Linked DNA regions of Nothobranchius furzeri. The protein of the gene in region 1 interacts with the protein of each later gene in a biochemical or structural test. Links are inferred from orthologs where the notes say so. Each region holds a gene or a part of one and is shown on either strand. Other genes may lie near its edges. The genes, in order: araf and gna12a.

What was found.
Region 2: the proteins of araf (region 1) and gna12a form a complex in vitro, tested with the Homo sapiens proteins (2 studies listed by BioGRID). The link is inferred for Nothobranchius furzeri from reciprocal best matches to the Homo sapiens genes ARAF and GNA12.

The regions. Positions count from the first base shown.
Region 1 is NC_091757.1:26,541,403-26,545,744, reverse strand, and holds the start of araf (serine/threonine-protein kinase A-Raf), read left to right. Parts: upstream 1-1,422; 5' UTR 1,423-1,497; intron 1,498-4,342. UniProt on the Homo sapiens protein: Involved in the transduction of mitogenic signals from the cell membrane to the nucleus. May also regulate the TOR signaling cascade. Phosphorylates PFKFB2.
Region 2 is NC_091744.1:16,146,937-16,151,514, forward strand, and holds the start of gna12a (guanine nucleotide-binding protein subunit alpha-12), read left to right. Parts: upstream 1-1,698; 5' UTR 1,699-1,929; coding exon 1,930-2,247; intron 2,248-4,578. UniProt on the Homo sapiens protein: Guanine nucleotide-binding proteins (G proteins) are involved as modulators or transducers in various transmembrane signaling systems. Activates effector molecule RhoA by binding and activating RhoGEFs (ARHGEF12/LARG).

The DNA.
Region 1 (4,342 bases):
TGTGTACACGCACTTGCTTATGTAAGGTTTCTCTATAGGAGCATCCAATAGAGAGTGTGAGGGGCCACAGATCTGCCCCCAAAGATGTGTAGAAGACAGAGGGAGCTCCAAGTCCCAGAGATCCATGAGCTGCCCCAGAGCGCAGGGACCCCAGGGAGACTGTAACCAGTAAAGCCCCCCTCTCGAGAGGCGCAGAGGATTGCCCCAGGGGGACACAACCAGCAGCCGGCAGAGTCCGGGGAGATATCAGTGGCAAGCCCACAGGCCCGCCCGCAGCCTCCCACCCCCAAGCCAACCGAGCCTGGAACCCAGCGACCCGGGACCCATCCCTTCTTGTGATGTTGCAAAATAGCAGAGGTGTGGACTCGAGTCACATGACTTGGACTCGAGTCATTATTTTAATGATTTCTGACTTGACTTGATAAAATCTATAATGACTTACGACTTGACTCGGACTTGAATGCCAATGACTTGCGACTTGAATCAACTTGAACCTGCTGACTTGATGATGACTTGAGCATATTTGATATTTTAGAACAAAAGTGGCATGACATGGAAAAAAAATCATAAATCATTCTTCATTCTGGGTTTGATCTTGTACTGCTAAATGCAGCAGCACTTTGTTTATAATCAGTTTCAGTTGCACTTCCTGCTTGTTTGAGCAAATAAATGAAGCTTTAAGAAGCTTTTTTTCTGGATTTTATTTATTATCATTGTCATTAAATTGAAGTTGGACAGATGACTTGATTACGACTTGAAAATTCAAAGTTAAGGACTTGGACTTGACTTGGACTTTCACATCACTGACTTTGGACTTGACTTGGACTTGATTGCCTTTGACTTGGACTTGACTGGAAAGACTTGTGACTTACTTGTGACTTGCAAAGCAGTGACTTGGTCACGCCTCTGCAAAATAGAACATTTACATCGAAGACCAGCTATCTGAGCTCCTGACGTCATAGTGGTAGGTGTGGCCAGCAACAGTTCATTTACATTAAAGTGGCACAGCTCATTATGGAAGGCACTGAAAACCTAAAAAAAATTAACTGGTGACATTACTTTATGTGAGAGCGATTTTGTGCAAAGAATTTCTTGTACATGTTTTGTATAAACCATCAAACAATAATTTCTTGTTTAAATGTCTAAGTAAACATATGAAATATCCCCTTTAATGATTGCACCAAAACAAACTAATTTTTCTTCATTCAGCAGAGTATGAAAAGTGTGTGAATGAATAGTAATGGGTTAGCTGTAAATCGCTTTGGGAGCCTTGAAAAGCGCTAAATAAATCTAATACATGAAAAATTGTTCTATTCAATTGAAGACATGAAAAGCGGCCACGGACCGCCCCCTACATGCCCAGCCTTGATCTGTCCAATGAGCGAGTGGGAGCACAGAGATCAGCCAATGAGAACGCAGCATGGTGCTTTCCTACTTTCCCTGAAGTTCTTGACAGATCCGACTTCAGATTGAGAGCGTTCAAGATGGCTGCCACAGGTAAGACTAACTAATCAAACTGTCTGGAAACACATCCGAACTGGGACGTGTCGGAGTAACTTTTAGCCACCCAACTAGTTCGTGATGTGCTGAGCGTGTCAGTGGATGGGTCGGTGTTCCGGGAAGCAGGCACCAGACCGGCGCGATGGGTCGGCGAATCCCCACAGGTTTGGCTAATGTTAGCCGCCTAGCATCCAAGCGCTTTACGGTGTGCGGAATCGGAGATAATCTTATCCACTAACGTTTAGCTTTGCAGATGCTTGCTCGAATTTGAGATTTATCAACAAATGATAGCATTTAAACTCAACATTATTTACATGTGTGATTTTGTGTCCGTGAACCAAAGAAGCCTCTTAAAAGTTACAGGCTACTTAGCTAAAGTTTTGTTAAGTAGCGCCAGAGAGAACTATGGCCTCAGAAAACCCCAGTTGTTGGAGCAAATGGAGACCGGCTAGCAGGAGCTCCGGTAAAGTAAAGCTCCGCCACACTTACGTCTGATTAGCTGCTCTAAGGACACGGTCCACGCTCTGCGCATGCCCCGTTGGTTGCTGTAGTGGCTACTGGGAACTGTGGGATGTGCCGCAATGGGTTTACTCTACCAGAAACAAATTTAAACAGTTTTCACACTTTAATGTGGGCCAGAAAAACTTGACACACCAGGACAGAGTAACGAGTTTCTTTTACGGAGCTCAAGATGGCCTTCGATGGGAAACCGGCATTGAATGCATTCATGAACACTTCCTTTGCATTTTATTATAAATGTTAGATTTGCAGAAAAGTTAGGAGGGAAATATGGTTACTCATTTCCCAAAGACTAATTAATTTAAAGGTCATCCAAATGTGCAGTGTCTACCTCTGGGTCACTGTTGCTGCAGATGAGCCTGTTGGGAATTATGTCCAATAAAGTTCTGGTGGATCTCCTCCACCAGAACTTTGTGGGTGGAGGTTGATCGGGACATTTTCCCAATTAAAGTTTAATAATGATTATGTTTCAGTAGCTTGTGATGGCATGAAGTACAGAGAGATGGGCCTGGAGCCTTGACCTTCCATGGTCATTCAGAGACCCCTGTAACATCCTTGTATATAATATCTCTAGACAAGGCTGCTTTACTTGTATAGCACAGTCATACACAGTAGCAATTCAGTGTGCTTTCCAGGAGCAAGAGCAGCAGGGAGGCTCCGATGCACCAGTTTCAGGAAGTACCAGTCAGATGGAGAAGGTATTTAGATTGCAGAATTTGGAGTCTTATTTCCTGATATCTGGACATCTCTCCTCTGATTGGGTAACAGCAACATGTCTCTACCACTGACTCTGTTTGGGCTGCAATATAGATATTTTATCTCTACTAATTACACTAGCCTGAAGGAGTTCTGCCATGTTGGAGCGTTACTAATGCTAACAGTTAGCTAGCTTCTACTAGCAGAGATGTTCTCTGCTGTTTCCTGGATGCTAATCCAACAAGAGCCTTCTCCATCGTGAGTCAAGATGAATGAATCCATGAGCGTTACCCCTTCTTTCCACCGGAGCCGTCAGCAGCACGTTACTGCAGCAGCACATCTTGCTCGCGTAAGCTGCTGCTTGGCCCTTCCCACGAGACGCGAAGCAGCAGGGGAGCAGCTGTCACCGACAGAGCACAAAGTCACACGAGTGACGTCGTCAGTAAACACAACAACAAGCAGGAGAAAACTACAACATGGCTCCAAAATGTTTGTGTTTTATGTTCTGTCTGTTTTATAATCGCCAATACGGACCTGAAAAACAAAGGAGACCGCTAACTAGGTGATAACTTCTCACGGGGACGCACAGTTAGTAACTTTTGTAAAAGTAAAGCAACCGGAATGAAGTACGTTTCTTTATTCTGAAAATCTCGGGAGCTTCTCTCCATTTCCGCGTCCGATTTCCTGTCTTTCCTTCCCCAAAAATGTTGAACTTGACCCGTTTCAGAGGCGTCGTGCGTAGAAAGTAGAACCGGCGCGTAAAGGCCGCGACATGCTGCTCCTGAGACGCGGCCGACTCGCGCTGCTGACGGCTCCAGTGGAAAAGGTTCTGTTGACCACAGCGGTTCCTATCAGCAGCTATGACGTGCTGCTGCAGTAACGTGCTGCTGACGGCTCCCGTGGAAAGAAGGGGTTAGGTGACAGTGTGGCGTAGATCTGTCAGGATTTTCTTATCCTAGAGTTTTACTGTCTATTTTCTATCAGAAGCTAATGCAGAAGATAGGTGTAGGAGACTATTTTCATGTTCAACCTGCATGAAAAAATCAGAATGACTGATTATAATCATAAATAATCATGACAATGTTTTTTAGTGTTTCACTCCTTTAATCCTGGCGAGTCAATCCCACCCTCAGTGGCTGAAGCTGAGTAAAAAGCTGCTATCCCTGCTGTTTGGTTTTTTTTTCTGCTGGTCCGCCCCCTAAAGTGTCCAGGCGGCATGTGTAACTTTTATGTTCCTGCTACTTTTTGCAGAAGATTTTTGGCATTTATTTGTAAATGTTTACAAATAAACTTTGAATCGGCACGTGTCACATCACGATGCCTCGATTAAATGGTGAATCTGCACACCCCCTTATCGTGCGATGAGAGTCTGGCCTTGACGCAGCATGTTAACACCAATAACAGCCCACCCCTAATTATGATATATTTCACCATGGAGTTGTTACTGTCCTCTTGCCAATTACTAGATGCTAATAATATTGTTCCAATGTAGGATTACATGTCTAAAAATCACGTTTTTTTTATTTAGCGTGATGAGCTTCGTCATTATGAGATTTCTATGTTTCTCTGCCCCAGTGTGAGAGTAGCTGCTGAACTCAGTGGCCCAGCCAGGACTATATATGTAAAA
Region 2 (4,578 bases), on another chromosome or scaffold:
AATAATTTAGATGATGTAATACCTGTTTTTTGTTCTTTTACGATCATTTCTGTTGGGAAAAGGTTTTTGCTTTAGTTTCTATTATTTTTGAAAGTTACTGTCACTGTTTCTGAGGATTAAAGTGGCTCTTCAGATTTTATGTATTTAGTTTATTATTTTCAATGCATCCTTTTTCTCCGTGTTTCATTTTCTGTAGCCTCTGCAGTTTGCAGCTGATTTTTCACACCTGCGCTGGCTTTCTTTGAATCAGCCCAGCTCTTTTCACCTTGTAATCGCCCCTCCCTTCATACATGCTCCTCGTCTTAGCGGCCTATCATACAATAATGCAGTGTTTGGTCAGGTTTTAAGGTCATTTAAAGAAAGCTAAAACATTTAAAGAGCCAATCCAACAAAGATTTGTGCACTCATCATGCAGTCCCAACCATGCAATAACATGTTGGATGACCACATGGCTTATACTGAAAAACACTGGTATCTCAGTGTGATAATGCAAATCCTCAATCACTGCACTGTCTGAAGCAACTAAGGATAGTATAGCTCTTCTTTCACAAAATGCAAAGAGAAACAATGTAGGCTAACTTTTAAAAAGTCTAAACTTATGACTTGAAGCAGTGGCTTCATAGATTAACTTTAGCTGTGTGCAAAATAGTCACTGGTTCACTCACTCACACATGCACACTATAGTATGCTGCAGTGTTTTGCATTTCAAACATCACTTAAACATAGCAAACAAAATCAGAATTATGCTGCATATATAAATGCTGCAGGAATAATGCACTACTTCATTTTGAGGTGATGTAGCATCTTCACCATGAGATCCTGTGTGTTCAGAGTCAGGTTCCAAATATCCAACAAGGCAGCATATGTAAACATGACATCGTGGGTTCACGTTTCTACAACAGACAAATACAAAGATTTCTGGTCTACAACTGAAACTTGAAAATTAGAATAAGGTGCCAAAGTCCATTCATCCAGTAATCCAGTTTAAATGAAGCAACCATCTAAAGGCTCGGGAACCCTTTGCAGGTGTTTGGATTCATTAGCTGATTAGTGAGCGGCACTTTGAGTCTAGAATATTGAACCTTTTACAATATTATGTGTAAGAATTTGAATGTGGAGTTTTCATAAGCTGTAAGCCGTAATCATCACAATTATAACATATAAAGGCTTGAAATATCTGGCTTTGCATGGAATGAGTCTGTCTCCTGTATCAGTTTCACGTTTTAAGTTTAATTTAAAAACATAAAAGAACTTTTGCACCATCTTCTAATTTTTGTATTGCACCAGTATTTTTTTAAAGATGTTCATGCTTCTCACGCCACTGTCTCATTTTTTCCATAAGTAAATTCTACTTGTTAATTCGCTGTTAAAGGTGCTCTATAAAAATGGAACTTTATCATTACTAGTAAACAAAATCAACAGAACCACTAAAATCCCTTCATTTACACTGCTCATTGTTTCCGCTGGCGCCCCCTGTCGGTGAGCTCCGGTACTCCTCCGGCGCCCCCTCGTCCTGTGACCGTCCCCTGCCGCCCGCGGGGGGGCTGCTCTTAGTTCACAAACCGCTGGATGCTTGGGTAGTTAGGCTGTCCCACTGTGAGATTTCCCTGCCTGAAGCATTGTTTTTCTTTGCATGGATACACTAACTTCAGGTCAGTTTAAACCACATTTTCTGTCCCTAATTTGGACTTTTAAGCGTTCAAGGATTAGTTTCTCCAGCTAGAGAGTTGTTTTCCTGTTGATGGAGCGGTCTAACCAAGATGGACACGGGCTGTCTGCCGGGGGGAGTCTAGATAAAGGTTTAATGTAACATTACAACCCGCTGGATGTAGCCGAACTGGGCCGTTTCCACCCCAGAGGTCACGAGTCTAGAATGAACATTTTCCCACTGGAGTTTCGGTAAACTTTTTTCCTTTCTCACGACTCGCCATGTCGGGAGTGGTCCGCACCCTGAGCCGCTGCCTGCTCCCGGCCGAGGCCAGCCGGGACCCGGGCGGCAGCAAGGAGGGGAGCCGGCAGAGGGACGCGGCGCAGGAGCGGGAGGCGAGGCGCAGGAGCCGGGAGATAGACGCCATGCTGGCCCGGGAGAGGAGAGCCGTGAGGCGTCTGGTGAAGATCCTCCTCCTCGGGGCCGGAGAGAGCGGAAAGTCCACATTCCTGAAGCAGATGCGCATCATTAACGGACAAGAGTTTGATCAGAAAGCGCTCCTGGACTTTCGGGACACTATCTATGAAAATATACTGAAGGTAGGAACAAAGTTCACTCATGCTTTATCAGGTCACAGTGACGTTTATTTATCAGAAAAAGTAGGTTAAACCTGTAAAAGTCATCAGATCATTTATAATAAAGGATCATTACATTTGATATTGATCAACACTTTGATTTTATTGATTAATCAACTAGATGAGGTATAGAGCAACAACATTACTGCTGATAAGGTAAACATCAGTTTATTTCTCAATTACAGAGGTCAGATGTTTTGTATCATTCATGGTGGGAAACTGAATAAAACAAACAATAAGTTGTTTTCAAATAGTCAAAGAGACAGGTATGAACTTTGACCCCTTTCTGTGTAAAGACACTTTTGTTCTAAAAGTATTTATTAAACCAGGAAATTATTTCTAGGTTAAATGATGCCTTATAGGTCAATAATTTAAAGCCATTTTAACCAAGGTGTGATTCACTCACTCTCTAAAACACACATGCGAGTTCTGTTGACACAGTGCATATTTTTATCCTGAAGTGTGTGTGTGTGTGTGTGTGTGTGTGTGTGTGTGTGTGTGTGTGTGTGTGTGTGTGTGTGTGTGTGTGTGTGTGTGTGTGTGTGTGTGTGTGTGTGTGTGTGTGTGTTCTTTTGTTTGCCGTCATGACTGGGCCTCCTTCACCAGCTAACAATACCAGACTATTCCTGAGGGATGAGCACATCCGCCCTGAGTACCATACAGCCCAGACTAGGGAGATAAGAGCCTGCACTCCAACACAGACAAGACAGCATTCATAACCCTCCCCCAAACACGAGCTGCTGTCCTGTCTCAAGTCAGATCCCAAACACAATCCTCCTCCTGCGTAATGATAAATGACCCGCACTTGTATAGCGCCTCTCAGAGTAAGGACTCCAAAGCGCTTTACACTACAGTGTATCATTCATCCATTCACACACTCCTGCGTAATCATCCTCTTACAGTTTTGAAAAAAATCTGAAACCAATAACCCATTTAAAGATTGCAGGAAATTAAGCAATGCATTGTATTGATCTCAGTAAAACATGTGACTTTGTGGGCAAATGTTATCCACTGTGTGTGGAAGTCTGAACTGCAGATCAGCACACACACTTTTCGACTCTTAATACATGTTGATGAGGTTTGAAGTTTATCTTGCTGAACTAAGCGGGTTCTTAAAGGATCCTGCTTAGATGGCAGCATATGGCGCTAGAACTGTAGATATTGTGCAACATTAGCGGCAAGGATCTGCATTTGCACAGATGTTTGTGTTGGAAATGCCCTCCTGATAACAAGCTGGGTGTTTGAAACTTTGATTCTTTACACAAAACTGACTTTTCCTGCTAATTTCATTTCTTTATTTCAGAGGATGTAAGTGTGTTCTTGTCATTTGTTTGGCGTTAACCAGTTTACTGTTATTATTTCTGAAACTAAGTCGTGTTTATTATTTCAAACTCCAGAGTCATCTCTGTTTTTGGTGCAGCGCAGGTCAGAAGTTCATAGCTATCAACTTGTTTACTGCTCAGATTTTTTGGGATCTGGATTAAAACGTCAAATTGTTGTTTTTTTTTTTAAATTTCTGTGAATATTTCTTACAATGTTTGGCATTTACTCTTTCTTTGACAGAAATGTAAACCAACTTTTTGTTTTAACCAACCCAGGCTTTTCCTGTATGTAGCTGAAGCATTTTCATGAGACTTCAGCGGCGCATCCCTTCTTACCTGGACTGTTTCAGAAATAGCCTGGCAAGCCACCCTATATATGTGAATATATAGTCTGGCCACAACTCAGAGAGAGAGATCATCTATAGGGTGAAATCTGTGGTTGTCTTTCAAACTGTCTCTGCATGCTATTGGACAATGAACATTGTTACATACTCACCTCTGACAATCAACAGAGCAGTCCACCATACACTGTTGAAGAAGACACAAATACCTAATTTTTCTAAACAAAGGAATGTAGTACCTCTATCTTCCCTTGACTCAAAGAAAAGCACAAGTCTAAATAGTCCAAAGTCGATGCTAAAGCCGTTTCAAATGAGCCATCACCATCTTAGGGGCAGCAGTAGCTCAACAGGTTGAGCGGGTTGTCCAGTAATCGGATGGTTGCAGGTTCGATCCCGGCTCCGGACAGATAATTCTGCTGTTGTGTCCTTGGGCAAGACACTTAACCCACCTTGCCTGCTAATGGTGGTCGGAGGGTCCTGTGGTGCCTGTGCTCGGCAGCCTCGCCTCTGTCAGTGCGCCCCAGGGCAACTGTGGCTACATTGTAGCTCATCACCATCAGTGTGTGAATGGATGAATGATACACTGTAGTGTAAAGCACTTTGGAGTCCTTACTCTGAGAGGCGCTATACAA